2 linked regions of the Macaca mulatta genome follow. The protein of the gene in region 1 interacts with the protein of each later gene in a biochemical or structural test. Links are inferred from orthologs where the notes say so. Each region holds a gene or a part of one and is shown on either strand. Other genes may lie near its edges.

What was found.
Region 2: the proteins of HSP90AA1 (region 1) and PTGES3 form a complex in vitro, tested with the Homo sapiens proteins (10 studies listed by BioGRID). The link is inferred for Macaca mulatta from reciprocal best matches to the Homo sapiens genes HSP90AA1 and PTGES3.

Annotation. Positions count from the first base shown.
Region 1 is NC_133412.1:175,436,200-175,443,285, forward strand, and holds the start of HSP90AA1 (heat shock protein HSP 90-alpha), read right to left. Parts: upstream 4,310-7,086; 5' UTR 4,251-4,309; intron 3,653-4,250; coding exon 3,491-3,652; intron 3,402-3,490; coding exon 3,035-3,401; intron 2,715-3,034; coding exon 2,581-2,714; intron 2,287-2,580; coding exon 1,966-2,286; intron 1,851-1,965; coding exon 1,685-1,850; intron 1,260-1,684; coding exon 1,069-1,259; intron 967-1,068; coding exon 819-966; intron 580-818; coding exon 311-579; intron 1-310. UniProt on the Homo sapiens protein: Molecular chaperone that promotes the maturation, structural maintenance and proper regulation of specific target proteins involved for instance in cell cycle control and signal transduction.
Region 2 is NC_133416.1:63,859,299-63,866,717, reverse strand, and holds the start of PTGES3 (prostaglandin E synthase 3), read left to right. Parts: upstream 1-3,345; 5' UTR 3,346-3,594; coding exon 3,595-3,596; intron 3,597-7,419. UniProt on the Homo sapiens protein: Cytosolic prostaglandin synthase that catalyzes the oxidoreduction of prostaglandin endoperoxide H2 (PGH2) to prostaglandin E2 (PGE2).

The DNA of each region.
Region 1 (7,086 bases):
CCTTGCGGGTTCAGGAGATTCTCCTGCCTCAGCCTCCAGACGCCCGCCACCACGCCTGGTTAATTTTTTTGTATTTTTAGTAGAGACGGGGTTTCATCGTGTTAGCCAGGATGGTCTCCATCTCCTGACCTTGTGATCCACTGCCTCAGCCTCCCAAAGTGCTGGGATTACAGGCGTGAGCCACCACGCCCAACCATACACGACATAGTTTTCTATTTTAAGTTGAAAGCAAAGAAAAATGGGTCATGTATGACTAAGCTTGAAAACACCTTAGAGGTATCAATGATCAGGAAATGCTGTATTCACATACCTTTTCAACTTTTTTCTCCAGTATGTCTTTCATGATTTTGCAGAGGTTCTCAAACTTTGTTTTTTTCTCTTCCTGTTTCTTTTTCTCTTCTTCATCCTCTGGAAGTTCCAAGCCCTCTTTGGTGACTGACACTAATGTCTTCCCCTCAAATTCTTTTAGCTGTTGGACACAGTACTCATCAATGGGCTCGATCATATAGATCACTTCTAAGCCATGTTTCCGAAGACGTTCCACAAAGGCTGAGTTAGCTACCTGGTCCTTGGTCTCACCTGAGGTATTACAAAGTTACTTTTAGACCTTTTAACAGTAAGAATGGCTTCATCTACTTCTAACTTTTGCTAGCCAGATACCTAGGCAGAACCTAAGACAAATAATGACCTAGTTCATGTTAATTATCTTGCCTAGATCAACGCCAGTTATAACAGTGCTACCTGAGTAGAAAACACACCCACAGAGCCTACAAGGTTATAAGAACGACGTATATGACTGTAACATAGCGTCCCCCTACCTGTGATATAATAGATATGTTTCTGGTTTTCCTTCATTCTGGTGCAGTAATCCTTGAGAGAAACCATCTCATCGCCAGAGGCAGATGTGTAGTACCTTAACAGCTCTGAAAGCTTCTTCCGATTTTGTGAGTCTTCATGTATTCCAAGCTAAAACAAAGTATGTTCTTTACTAAAGACTCTCTGAATTCAAAAAGAAATCTAAAAAGAGGCCAGCAGGAAAACTACCAATGGTCAAATATTTACACCAACCTTTATGTTTTTAGAGAACTGCTCATAGAACTTCTTGTAGTTCTCTTTATCTTCCGCCAGTTCAGTAAAGAGTTCTAAGCATTTTTTGACCAAATTCTTCCTGATAACTTTCAAAATTTTGCTTTGCTGCAACATCTCACGGGATATATTTAGAGGGAGATCCTCTGAGTCTACCACCCCTCTAATGAAGTCTGAAAAAAATATAAAAATCAAATGCACTGAGTCATTCCAAGGACAAAACTGGTACTATGTAAACCCCCAAAAGCAAAGACAAGAACCTGGAGATGATAGGAGATTATTTTTGAGACAGTGTCTCACTCTGTTGCCCAGGCTGGAAGGCAGTGGTGCAATCTCCGCTCACAGCAACCTCTGCCTCCCAGGGGGGTTTTCAAGCTATTTTCATGCCTCAGCCTGCCACCACATCGGGCAAATTTTTCTAATTTCAGGAGAGATGGAGTTTCACCATGTTGGCCAGGCTTGTCTTGAACTCCTGACCTCAAGTGATCCGCACACCCCGGGTTCCCAAACTGCTAGGATTACAGGTGTGAGCCACCATGCCCAGCCAGAAGTATTTCTTTAATCAGTGACAGTGATTATTTTTCCTATCTATACTTACTCAGATATTCAGGGATTAGCTCCTCACAGTTATCCATGATGAAAACTCTGCGTACATACAATTTGATGTTGTTCTTTTTCTTTCTGTTTTCAAACAGGTCAAAAGGAGCACGTCGTGGGACAAATAGAAGGGCTCTGAATTCCAACTGCCCTTCAACTGAAAAATGCTGTAATAGAACAAACACACTAAGTATCAATGAACAATGCATTATAGCAGATATTTGGGGTGGTGGGATGATAATCTAAAGACAAGCTTGAAGCATCCATCAGTCCCTCACTCACCTTCACTGCCAAGTGATCTTCCCAGTCATTGGTCAAGCTCTTGTAGAATTCTCCATACTCCTCATTAGTAATATCGTCGGGATTTCTGGTCCAGATGGGCTTTGTTTTGTTGAGTTCTTCTTGATCGATGTACTTCTCCTTAATCTTCTTTTTCTTCTTCTTGTCACCATCCTTCTTTTCTTCTTCTTCCTCATCAGAACCAACATCTTCAATTTCAGGTTTGTCTTCAGACTCTTTCTCTTCTTTTTCTTTTTCTTCTTCTTTGTCTTCTTTTTCTTCAGCCTCATCATCGCTGACTTCTTTATCACGTTCCTTCTCCACCTTCAAAAGACATGAAATCGCATCACTGCTGCACTCTAGAACTAAGTCATAGCGCTGCCCCACTACTTTCAACCTAAGGCCAAAGCCTAAATTACCGAGGATGAGAAGCAGCCAGGCAGCTTCTCATCAATATTTGATATATCTACTTAATAACCCGAGGAACCTTCACAGTTAGTAGAGCTTAGGTTCCCCAGGCTTCAAACTAGTTCAACAGACCTAGGAACTAAGGATGTAGTACAGTCACCCCAGTCACCTACAGACAGTAATTCACTCTGCAATTATGTAGAAACTTACAAAAAGAGTAATGGGATATCCAATAAACTGAGAATGTTTCTTCACAATCTCCTTTATTCTTCGTTCCTCCAAGTACTCAGTTTGGTCTTCTTTCAGGTGTAGGATAACCTTTGTTCCACGACCCATAGGTTCACCTGCAAGAGAAATAAGGAAAATTGACTCAATAATACATTCAATTTAGTGCTCAACGCCATGCTTAACCCTTATAACGTGTCTATGAAGCGAGGTTTGCCCTTACTACAGATGCAAAGGCTCCCACAGCAGATCTAAGTGCCTTGCCCAAAAGAAGTAATCACCAAGTCATGCCATTACACACTAATTCAGAGCTCTAGCTTGTTCCTGATCCTTGGGTAAACACACTTTCTGTGAACTTCGCCGCATCCCCAGGGGTCCAAGGGTTGCAACACCCCACCATTCCGCCACTGACTTAACCAGTGAGTGTTCAGGTACCTACCTGTGTCTGTCCTCACTGTAAATGATCCCCCTGCTGAGGACTCCCAGGCGTACTGCTCATCATCGTTATGTTTGGTGATCACAGTTACTTTCTCAGCAACCAAATAAGCAGAATAAAAACCAACACCGAACTGGCCAATCATGGAGATATCTGCACCAGCCTGCAAAGCTTCCATGAACGCTTTGGTCCCAGACTTGGCGATAGTACCAAGGTTATTGATCAAGTCAGCCTTGGTCATCCCAATTCCAGTATCCACAATAGTGAGGGTTCGATCTTGTTTATTTGGTATCAGGTTAATATGCAGCTCTTTCCCAGAGTCTAATTTACTGGGATCCGTCAAGCTCTCATAGCGGATTTTGTCCAATGCCTATTAACACAAAATATTAATTAAGCATACAGCCCCCAAGAAGTTCATATTGAAACCAAAATCCTATTCTGGGTTAATAAACGACTTACATCTGATGAATTTGAAATTAGCTCTCTTAGAAAGATCTCTTTGTTCGAATAAAAAGTATTGATAATCAATGACATCAACTGGGCAATTTCTGCCTGAAAGGCGAACGTCTCAACCTCCTCCTCCTCCATCGGTTGGTCCTGGGTCTGCGTTTCCTCAGGCATCTGGAACGACACCGCGCCGGTTTAAAACCCTGCAGGGCGTCTACAGGGGCAACACGAGATTCCATCGCGTCCTCCCAATATTTTTAAAGCCGGATTGCAGATTTGCGAAGTTTAAGTAAACCGAAAATAGAAGGGCGGCTGACAAAGGATGACCTCATTTCGGAGCGCGGTAACTACCACGAGCGTGTGCGCGCTTCCGGGAGGCCACTGCAGGCCCGGCCCAGTCCCGCGCCGCGGTCCCCAACCGACACCCCGTGTGCCCTCCCGCGCGGGCCGCGGCTCCGCCAGGGCGGCCTCCTCCGCCTGCGCCCCAGCTGGGCCGCCCGGGGGGCCCCCAGCCAAAGGGCCGCTCTGCTCGCGTGCGGCGCCAGCTCCGGGGCTGCCGCGGAGACTCGGGGAGCAGCCGCCCAGCCCATTCCTGAGGCGGGCTGCGGAGACAGCAGCGGGCCCACGGCCTCCGGAATAGGCAGCGCGGCCTCCCGGGAGAGCGGCCCTGGCGGGTTCAGGGCTCCCGTTCGGCCCCCACAGCCTCCGCTCCGCGCCAACCGCCCCCACTCCCCAATCCACCTCCACAGGCCCCCACAACCGCCCCTCACACCTTGGCTAAAAGGCTGCAAACGTTCCACGGCACAGCAGCACCAAGACGCTGAAGCAACTGACGCGCCGCCCCCGCGCCTGCCTTATATAGCGACGGGCCCGCCCAGCGCGCGGCGCTTTTTCCAGAAGCCTCCCGAACCTTCCGGAAGAACCCTCCCCAACCGCCGCCGCGGCCGCGCGCCTGCGCCTGCGCCCTCGCCGTGGCCCGCCCCTCCCGCTGGCGCGCGCAGGCCCTGCTCATGGCCCAGCCCGGGAAACCTTCCCTCAATCACCGCCCCGCGCCTCTCGCACGCCCCCGCGCCGACCTCAATGCGCCTGCGCGGCCTGGAATTCTCGGGAAGGTCCGGGCGCCTTCTGGGGCCGCCCGCGCCCTCCTCCCTGCACTCCCACCTGCCGAGCGCGGGCGGAGGGCACGCCCGGGCGTGGGGGCCTTTGAAGTGAGGTGTAGTTTGGTCACCCGGGCTGCGCAGAATGCGGGGCTGGGGCGGGAGGCGCGCCTGGAGGGAGGGCCGTGCGTGGACGGGGAGCGCCCCGGGTCTCGCACGCCCGGGAGACTACCGGAGCCGTCATCCTCACGGACGGCGCGCCCGCTGCCAAAAAATCCAGCCGCAGGCGGCGCCGGGATCGCGGGGCTCTGCTCCCTGGGGGCCTTTGGGCTGTTGGCTTCTAGCTGCTGCGCGCAGGGGACGCCGTCCCGCGGCCTGCGCGCTCGGGGAGTCTCCAGACCCACTGCTGGCTCAGGAGCGCTCCCTACCTTTGGGTTCCCCGGAAGCCATGTCCTTCACACTTCAGGGTCCCTTAGCTTGGGAATCGGGCCCTTGGTGAATAAATTCATGCTTACCCAGCTACACCCGGCATGCTTTTTAAAAGCCCATCGTTTTGCCGATCGATTTGAGGTCTCCAAATTAAGTATCTAACACTTGACATTTTGGTGATTAACCTTCCCTAAAAGACAGGTTTGGTGTTTTTTTGTTTTTGGACAGGCTGTCCCTCTGTCGCCCAGGCTGGGGTGCTGTGGCACAATCTTGGCTCACCGCAGCTTCGACCTCCCGGGCTCAGGTGATCCTCCTACTTCAGCTTTCCGAGTAACTGGGACGAGCGCGGGCGGAGGACCACAAGCGCGGACACCACACCCGGCTAGTTTTTGTATTTATTTGTATAGTTGGGGTTTCACCATGTTGCTCAGGCTGGAAGAACCAGTTTCTACATGAGAATTTTCAGATATTTTGGTCAAGGCCAGCTATGAGAACCTTAGAGGTGTTGGGGTTCCTTAGACTTGGCTCCCATGCCTCGTCCATGTCCTCTTCCTCTCTGGCGCCTCCCATGATTGGGCCTCCTCCTGCCTAAACTCATAGCCAGGTCCTCGGAATAATCTGGAAGCTCCTTACCGTGTAAACAAACGACGGAACTACCTCCGCTTCCTGGTCTCTAGGGAAACCAACTTACTCAGGAGCAGGGGTTTTCAGACTGCGGCCTGGGACCCTTTAAGAGTGTGTGAAATCAACATAAAGCGTCTTGCCCAGCATTACAAAGCGGGGTGGATGGAAACTAGCAGCCACGTGGCGCGGGCCCCAGCGGTGGTTACTGGGTGTGTGCCGGCTCCCGTGATAGCTGTTCCGCAGCCTTGGGGGGCGCCCCCGGCCCAGGCCTTCCCTACACTGCAGCCGGGACCGGCGGGGAGGAATCCGGAAGCAGGCGTGGCGGTGAGCAGGTCGCTGAAGGGGCGCAAGGTCTTCCCTGGCGAGTGCCTCCTCCGCCTGTTTCCTTCCTGTCACCACCAGCCACTGTCCCCACTCTCCTCACTTGGAACTTTTCCTACCGCAGTTTCTGCCATTGCCAATGGGGTTTGAGATTTCTTATAGAAGAGCCATCCCGGGCCCTAGCTCTGACAGTCTGTCTTTTGTTTTTGGGACCTTCATTTTTCCCCGTTTCTCCAGTGAACCTGCCCCAAAGCCCCTCCCTGGGTCTGGGCATCACTGGGAACCACTGTTTCCCGTCAGGCCCCACCTTTAATGTCCCTCCTTCCTTCCACAACTTCCTGTCTTTCCAGCTCTCCCGCCTCCGTTAATAAACAGGACATTGGCCGGGCGCGGTGGCTCAAGCCTGTAATCCCAGCACTTTGGGAGGCCGAGACGGGTGGATCACGAGGTCAGGAGATCGAGACCATCCTGGCTAACACGGTGAAACCCCGTCTCTACTAAAAAAAAAAAAATACGGCGGGCGCGGTGGCTCACGCCTGTAATCCCAGCACTTTGGGAGGCCGAGGCGGGCGGATCACAAGGTCAGGAGATCGAGACCACGGTGAAACCCCGTCTCTACTAAAAATACAAAAAATTAGCCGGGCGCGGTTGTGGGCACCTGTAGTCCCAGCTACTCGGGAGGCTGAGGCAGGAGAATGGCGTGAACCCGGGAGGCGGAGCTTGCAGTGAGCCGAGATCGCGCCACTGCATTCTAGCCTGGGCGACAGAGCGAGACTCCGTCTCAAAAAAAAAAAATACAAAAAACTAGCCGGGCGATGTGGCGGACGCCTGTAGTCCCAGCTACTCGGGAGGCTGAGGCAGGAGAATGGCGTGAACCCGGGAGGCGGAGCTTGCAGTGAGCTGAGATCCGGCCACTGCACTCCAGCCTGGGCGACAGAGCGAGACTCGTCTCAAAAAATAAATAAATAAATAAATAAAAAATAAACAGGACATTTTTGTCCTGTCTCCGGGTGACATTCCACAGTTACACACCAGTTGAGACCTCTGCCATGGTTTCTACCATCAATATGCCAGCCCCTGGCTGTTCCTTCTCTCTTCTCAGACTCATGTCCCTCTCCCTGGCACATCACGGAGCTC
Region 2 (7,419 bases), on another chromosome or scaffold:
AAATTAGCCGGGCATGGTGGTGTGCCCATAGTCCCAGCTACTCTGGAGGCTGAGGCAGGAGAATCGCTTGAACACAGGAGGCGGAGGTTGCAGTGAGCCAAAACACTTATTAAGCTGTGTGGACCATGACGTTATTGCTGTCAGGAAATTTTTTTTAAAAGTTGTGTGGACTGGCTGGGCGCGGTGGCTCATGCCTGTAATCCCAGCACTTTGGGAGGCCAAGGTGGCTAGATAACCTGAGGTCAGGAGTTCGAGACCAGCCTGCACAATCTGGTGAAATCCCATCTTCACTAAAAATACAAAAATTAGCTAGGCATGATGGGGAGCGCCTATAATCCCAGCTACTCAGGAGTCTGAGGCAGGAGAATCACTTGAACCCGGGAGGCGGTGGTTGTAGTAAGCCAAGGTTGCGCCACTGCACTCCAGCCTAGGCAACAGGGTGAGACTCCGTCTCGGGAAAAAAAAAAAAAGCCTGACATTCAGTGCCACCATTATTTCGTTGTGACCTACCTTTTTTTTTTTTTTTTGACACAGAGTCTCACTCTGTTACCCAGGCTGGAGTACAGCGGTACAATCTAGACTCGCTGCAACCTGCGTCTCCTGGGTTCATGAGATTCTCCCACCTAAGACTCCTGAGTAGCTGGGATTATAGGCGCACCATGCCCAGCTAATTTTTGTATTTTTAGTAGAGATGCGGTTTCACCATCTTGGACAGGCTGGTTTCAAACTCCTGGCCTCAAGTGATCTGCCTGCATCGGCCTCTCAAAGTGCTGGATTACAGGCATGAGCCACCGTGCCCGGCCATGACCTACCTTCTTGAACATATCTTGAATTTACTCCCTTACACTCTGGACTACTTAGGCTAGAGATTGGCAAACTACAGCCTGCACACCAAATCCGGCCCCCCTGTCAGTTTTCGTCTGATGTAAGAGTTACAGTTTTCACTTTATTTATCTATTTAGAGACGGAGTCTCGCTCTGTTGCCCAGGCTGGAGTGCAGTGGCGCGATCTTGGCTCACGACAACCTCTGCCTCCCCTGTTCAAGCGATTCTCCTGCCTCACCCTCCAGAGTAGCTGGGACTAATAGGCACACCAAGCACACCCAGCTAATTTTTGTATTTTTAGTAGATACGGGGTTTCACTATGTTGGTCAGGATGGTCCCCTCTCTCTTGACCTTGTGATCCACCTGCCTTAGTGTCCCAAAGTGTTGGGATTACAGGCCTGAGCCACGGCGCCCGGCCTAATTTTTATTTATTTATTTTTTTGAGACGAAGTCTCCCTCTGTCGCCCAGGCTGGAGTGCAATGGAAGACTCTTAGCTCACTGCACCCCCCGCCTCCTGGGTTCAAGCGATTCTCCTGCCTCAGCCTCTGGAGTAGCTGGGATTACAAACGCCCACCACCACGCCCTCTTAATTTTTTCCCCCCATACAGAGTCTTGCTCTGTTTCCAGGCTGGAGTGCAGTGGCGCGATCAGCTCACTGCAATCTCTGCCTCCCGGGTTCAAGCAATTCTCCTGCCTCAACCTCCCGAGTAGCTGGGATTACCAGCACCCACCACCACACCCGGCTAATTTTTTTTTTTTTTTTTTTTTTTGAGGCGGAGTCTCGCTCTGCCGCCCAGGCTGGAGTGCAGTGGCTCGATCGATCTCGGCTCACTGCAAGCTCCGCCTCCCGGGTTCCCGCCATTCTCCTGCCTCAGCCTCCCGAGTAGCTGGGACTACAGGCGCCCGCCACCTCGCCCGGCTAATTTTTTGTATTTTTAGTAGAGACGGGGTTTCACTGTGTTAGCCACGACGGTCTTGATTTCCTGACCTCGTGATGCGCCCATCTCGGCCTCCCAAAGTGCTGGGATTACAGGCTTGAGCCACCGCGCCCGGCCCTAATTTTTGTATTTTTAGTAGAGATGGGGTTTCACCACGTTGGCCAGTCTGATCTCAAACTCCTGACCTCGTGATCCGCCTGCCTCGGCCTCCCAAGGTGCTGGGATTACAGGCGTGAGCCACCGCGCCAGGCCAACTTCCCTTTTTTTTTTTTTTTTTTTTTTTTTGAGACAGGGTCTCACTCTGTCGCCCAGGTTAGAGTGCTCCCTGCAACGTCCACCTCCTGGGTTCGAGCTATCCTCCCGCCTCATACTCCCTAGTATTTGGCATTACAGGCGCGTGCCACCACGCCCTGCTAATTAGTAATTTCAGTAGAGATGGGGTTTCACCATGTTGGGCAGGTGAAACTCCTGACCTCAGGTGATCCGCCCACCTCAAGCTTCCCAAAGTACTGGGATTACAGGCGTGAGCTATGGGCGCCCGGTCCAAAATGGCATTTGAGCTAGGGTCCAGTTTTCGTAGCTCCCACTACCTGTCGTGCACAACATAGACACTAAATACCTTATTGCTTATTATGAAGCCCCGTTCTTCAGAAACGTTTTATAGCACTTTCGTTAAACCTCCTTCCTGTTCATAATGCAGTGCACTAGAGTATTTTTCCCATACTCCACCGTTAAGTGGCCTCTTGGTAAGCAGGACTGTTTTGGGTCTCTTGGTTACTATCCCCTAATACACCCTATTAGTGTGTTGCACGAAGCGACGGGGAACCCGTTCTCCCCCAAATGATGTGCGTGGAGACACCCAATGTCCTAGCCTCTCCATTCCCAGAAACCTAAGACTCTCCCACCAAATATCCTTCCTGTCTCATCTACAGCACTGAGGTCTCAAGGTAGGGGCAAAAGCCCGCCCCAAATGGCAAATGCTCCTCCTCCGCCAAGAACCTCCAATTTCCGCTGTCCCTAGACAGAGCCTCCAACCTTCAGAAAAATGGCGAGGTAGACCCAGGCCCTTGATTCTGAAGTGAGCCCTTTTCCACAGCACAGCCTTTTCACAGGTTTTTGTGGTGGAATGATTCCTCAGTGAACTGATTTACTCCCTCAAGAGTAACCAACGCTCCATTTTAGTTCTATAGGATCCTGACTCCGTGTCCCTCCGCCTCGGCCTTGCCTCCCACTGCCAACGCAGCCGTTTCTCAGAGAAATCGCCCAAGGCGCATGGCCGGGCAGTTGGGACACCAACGGTTTTCTAACGCGAGAGGACAGCGAGGGAGGAGAGGCGGGAACGCGTAGCGACTAGCAGGGGGCGGGGTGGGGGTGGGGTGGCGGACGAAGGGCGGGGCCGACGCCAGGAAGGATCGCGAAGGAGCTGGGAAGCCCCGCCCTTTCCGTAGATATCTCTAGAAAGCCGCGCCGGACCCCGAAAACAAGGACTGCGCACGCGCGGCGGTAAGGCCCGGGCATTTTGCTGCGTCACCAGCCGCCGCCCGGCCTCACCACCCCTCGTTTGCACGCACGCACGTTCATTCTCCGTCCTCGCGCCCGTTTTCCTACACTTTCCTCTTCTCCCCGACCGGAGGAGCCGCTCTTTCCGCGCGGTGCATTCTGGGGACCGAGGTCGAGCCCGCCGCTGCCGCCGTCGCCTGAGGGAAGCGAGAAGAGGCCGCGACCGGGGAGAAAACGCGGAGTCGCCACTGGAGAGAAGTCGACTCCCTAGCAGCAGCCACCGCCAGAGAGGCCCGCCCACCCGTTCGCCCGTCCCCCTGCCCCGTTCACAATGTGAGTGCGACACCCCGCCGAGGGAAGGTCGCCCAGAGTGAGGCCGAGGCCGCGTTGGGGGCTCCCTGGAAGCGGCCCTTGCCCTCCCTCTGCTTTTGGCCCCATAGCCTTTCTCGCATCGGTGGTGGCAGTCGTTCCTGCCTGGGGGCGGGAGGTCCAGGATCCTTGTTCCGGTTACCGTTGGCGGGTGGAGGACATTTTTCCTCCAGATGTCTGCTTCCCCCACCCCTGAAACGTCCCTTGGCTTCCCTATACCGGAAATCCTACTTTTTCCCTCTTTGGCTGTCTGGGCTACTGGCTTCCTTAGGTAACTTCACCTTAGGCCTTAAGCTCCCCGGAGCTGCTCGCCATGCGGCGCCGTGAAGCGTGAACCCTCGTGGGTCGCCTCGGCTGCTTGGGCGCTCCGGTTCTGCTGCTTTGTGGTCCCCGGGCCAGGCCCTGAGTCGAGTGCACCTGTGGTGGGTGCCGCCAGTTGCCTGGCGGAGCTCCTGGGAGAGCCCCACGCGGGCCTAGCCGTGAGCGGCAGGTACTGCTAGGCAACTAGAGTGAAGCCATGCCCACGCCGCAACATACTTCTCTCTCCAGTGTCTGGGTTTCTTGAGTGTGGGTACTTGAAGTCCGCCTCGTAACTCCAGTCTCTTGAAAACACGGGAGGTTGCCAAAACTCAGCCGCTTCCCTGGCAGCGAGGAGGAGTTACCGTTGAGCAGGTAGTTCTGCACGTGTCTGCTTTGGAAAGACACGGACATTTTCTGTGTTCCATGTTAAACCTGAGGTGAGGTTTCACTATCCTGTAACTGTGGGGTGAAATATGTATGTAATAGGCGTGTAATTAACCTACTGTTGTCCTAAAGAGTTTAAATTTGTGTTGAGATTCTATGGTAGTCTTCATTTTATGATGATAAAGGAAACCTCGGCGATTTTAACCGAGTAAGAATTCTTGGCACTGCCACGTACAGTGGGAACTGCCGGTTTTACAGGGTTTTGTTTTAGTTTTTGGTTTTTTTTTGACGGGAGGTTATTTTTTAAGGTACTAACTGCGTCCTAAAAGGTATGGAGAGCAATTAAGGGGGAACCTTTTTTTAAAAAATATTCCATTCAGAAGAGATGAGAGGGAGTGACTTTGTGGAAAAGTAAGAAGGGTTTGCTTGATTCAAAGTCATGATACTGACGGCTAGAAATCTAAAGGAATGAGTGAGGGATACACTGAAGCGAAGTTTATCACTGGAAACAAGCTTCTAGAGCACAGCATGTTAGAATTTTTGAGGGAGCCCCCTCCCCGAGAGTGATACGTAATCGGGGTTTTTAAAAGTTTGAATCAGGCTGGGCGCGGTGGCTCACACCTGTAATCCCAGCACTTTAAGAGGCCGAGGTGGGCGGATCACCTGAGGTCGGGAGTTCGAGACCAGCCTGACCAACATGGAGAAACCCCGTCGCTACAAAAATACAAATATTAGCCGGGCGTGGTGGCACATGCCTGTAATCCCAGCTACTCGGGAGGCTGAGGTAGGAGAATCGTTTGAAACAGGGAGGCAGAGGTTGTGGTGAGCCGAGATCTTGCCATTGCACTCCAGCCTGGACAACAAGAGTAAAACTCCGTCTCAAAAAAAAAAGTATATAAAATAGCTTTTGTTTTTCCCTTTGAAATCTCTCATAAGTAATGTAGAAGGGACATCAGTCTTAACCTTTCATACTCTGAAAATCTGTAAGGGAAAATTTTTGTCAGATAAGGCATTAAGCAGCTTTTAATAATAGAGCCAAACAACATATCTTTTCGTGAAAAATGTTTAAAATGGGCTCGAAGTAGAAGCACTTTCTGGAGGGCACATGAGATATCTAAATAGGTAAGGAACGGCTAAGTTAGGAAAGTAAATTTAAAAACTTGGGTGAAAAGTGTAAGGCCAGGCGCGGTGGCTCACGCCTGTAATCCCAATACTTGGGAGGCTGAGGCAGGTGGATCACGAGGTCAGGAGTTAGAGACCAGCTTGGCCAATATGGTGAAACCCCGTTTCTACTAAAAATACAAAAACTAGCCGGGCGTGGTGGTGCACTCCTGTAGTCCCAGCTATTCGGGAGGCTGAGGCAGGAGAATCGCTTGAACCCAGGAGTCGAAGGTTTTAGTGAGCCGAGATTGCGCCACTGTACTCCAGCCTGGGCAATAGAGGGAGACTCCGTCTCAAAAAAAGTAAGTGTAGCAGTAGAGAGACAATTCCAAAAAGCAGCCTCTCTAGTTAAAAAAAAAAAAATGGTACCTTCATGCCGGGCGCGGGGGCTCACGCCTGTAATCCCAGCACTTTGGGAGGCCAATGCGGGCGGATCACGAGGTCGTGAGATCAAGACCATCCTGGCTAACACGGTGAAACCCCGTCTTTACTAAAAATACAAAAAATTAGTCAGGCGTGGTCGCAGGCGCCTGTGGTCCCAGTTGCTGGAAGCCTGAGGCAGGAGAATGTCGTGAACCCGAGAGGTGGAGCTTGCAGGGGGGATCGCGCCTCTGCACTCCAGCCTGGGCCACACAGTGAGACTGTCTCAAAAAAAAAAAAAAAAAAAGCTACCTTTAAAACGAGTGATGCGGCCGGGCGCGGTGGCTCACGCCTGTAATCCCAGCACTTTGGGAGGCCGAGGCGGGCGGATCACAAGGTCAGGAGATCGAGACCACGGTGAAACCCCGTCTCTACTAAAAATACAAAAAAATTAGCCGGGCGCGGTTGTGGGCGCCTGTAGTCCCAGCTACTCAAGAGGCTGAAGCAGGAGAATGGCGTGAACCCGGGAGGGGAAGCTCGCGGTAAGCCTGGGGGACACAGCCAGACTCCGTCTCAAAAAAAAAAAAGTGTTTTGAAGAGACCAGCTAAAATATTATTTTAAAAATATTCAATATATTCCATTTAGTAAATTCTTCAGGGACTCTTACCAAGCTAAAGACTTAAATGAATTTACAAAATAAAAGTTGTAAGTCAGTTATTTGAGGTGGAAGAAGCTTTTAATGGGTCGTCATCCAGTCTTAAGAATCTGGCTGGTAAGGGCTTATTTCGTTGATAACTTGTTTTAAAAGTGTGGTAGTGTTTTGTTTTGTTTTTTTTTTGAGACAGGGTATTGGTCTGTTGCCCAGACTGGAGTGCAGTGTCGCGATCTCAGCTCACTGCAAACGGTACCTCGTGGGCTCAAGCGATCCTCCTTGCCTCAGTGTCCGGAGTAGCTGGGACTGCCGGCAAGCACCACCGTGCCTGGCTAATAAGAAAAATATTTTTTAAGCTCTGGGAAGAGATATATTTATGCTGGGTGCCTTAAGGGCTTGGGAGTGTGTTTTCTCATTTGATTTACCTATTTGCTCTTTAGCGATTTCGTAGTTACATTTCTTTAAATCTTAGGTTATAAAAGTTTGTCTGATAGTTTACATAAAAGCTCTTAATTTCGAACCTATCTTGGAGAAGGCTGGGATTTTAGGACCTTCCCCCACTTAAGATTTTCCGCTTAACCTTGCCAGAGGGTGCTACTTCGCATTTTTTGAATCATTGTCGTTGGACCAATTAAAAACAGATGAAAAGTAAAATGTTTTATTTACTTTACCGATATTTTAAGTTACTGTTTTTCCTGTTTAATGTCTTGTATGTAATTAGGAAGTTGTCCAGAAACTTGCATCTCTGATTTTAGTAAAAATCTTACTTTCCCTCACTCAGCTGTGTAGGAATGAATCCCTGAAATAAAGTTGTCCATCTTTAGCCTGCAAAACAAATTGTCAGAGTGAACATAATGCTATATTGTTAATTTCTATAACTTTCTGATGGTGGGTGGCCTTTGTTCAATATTGATTTCCTGTGCACTGTA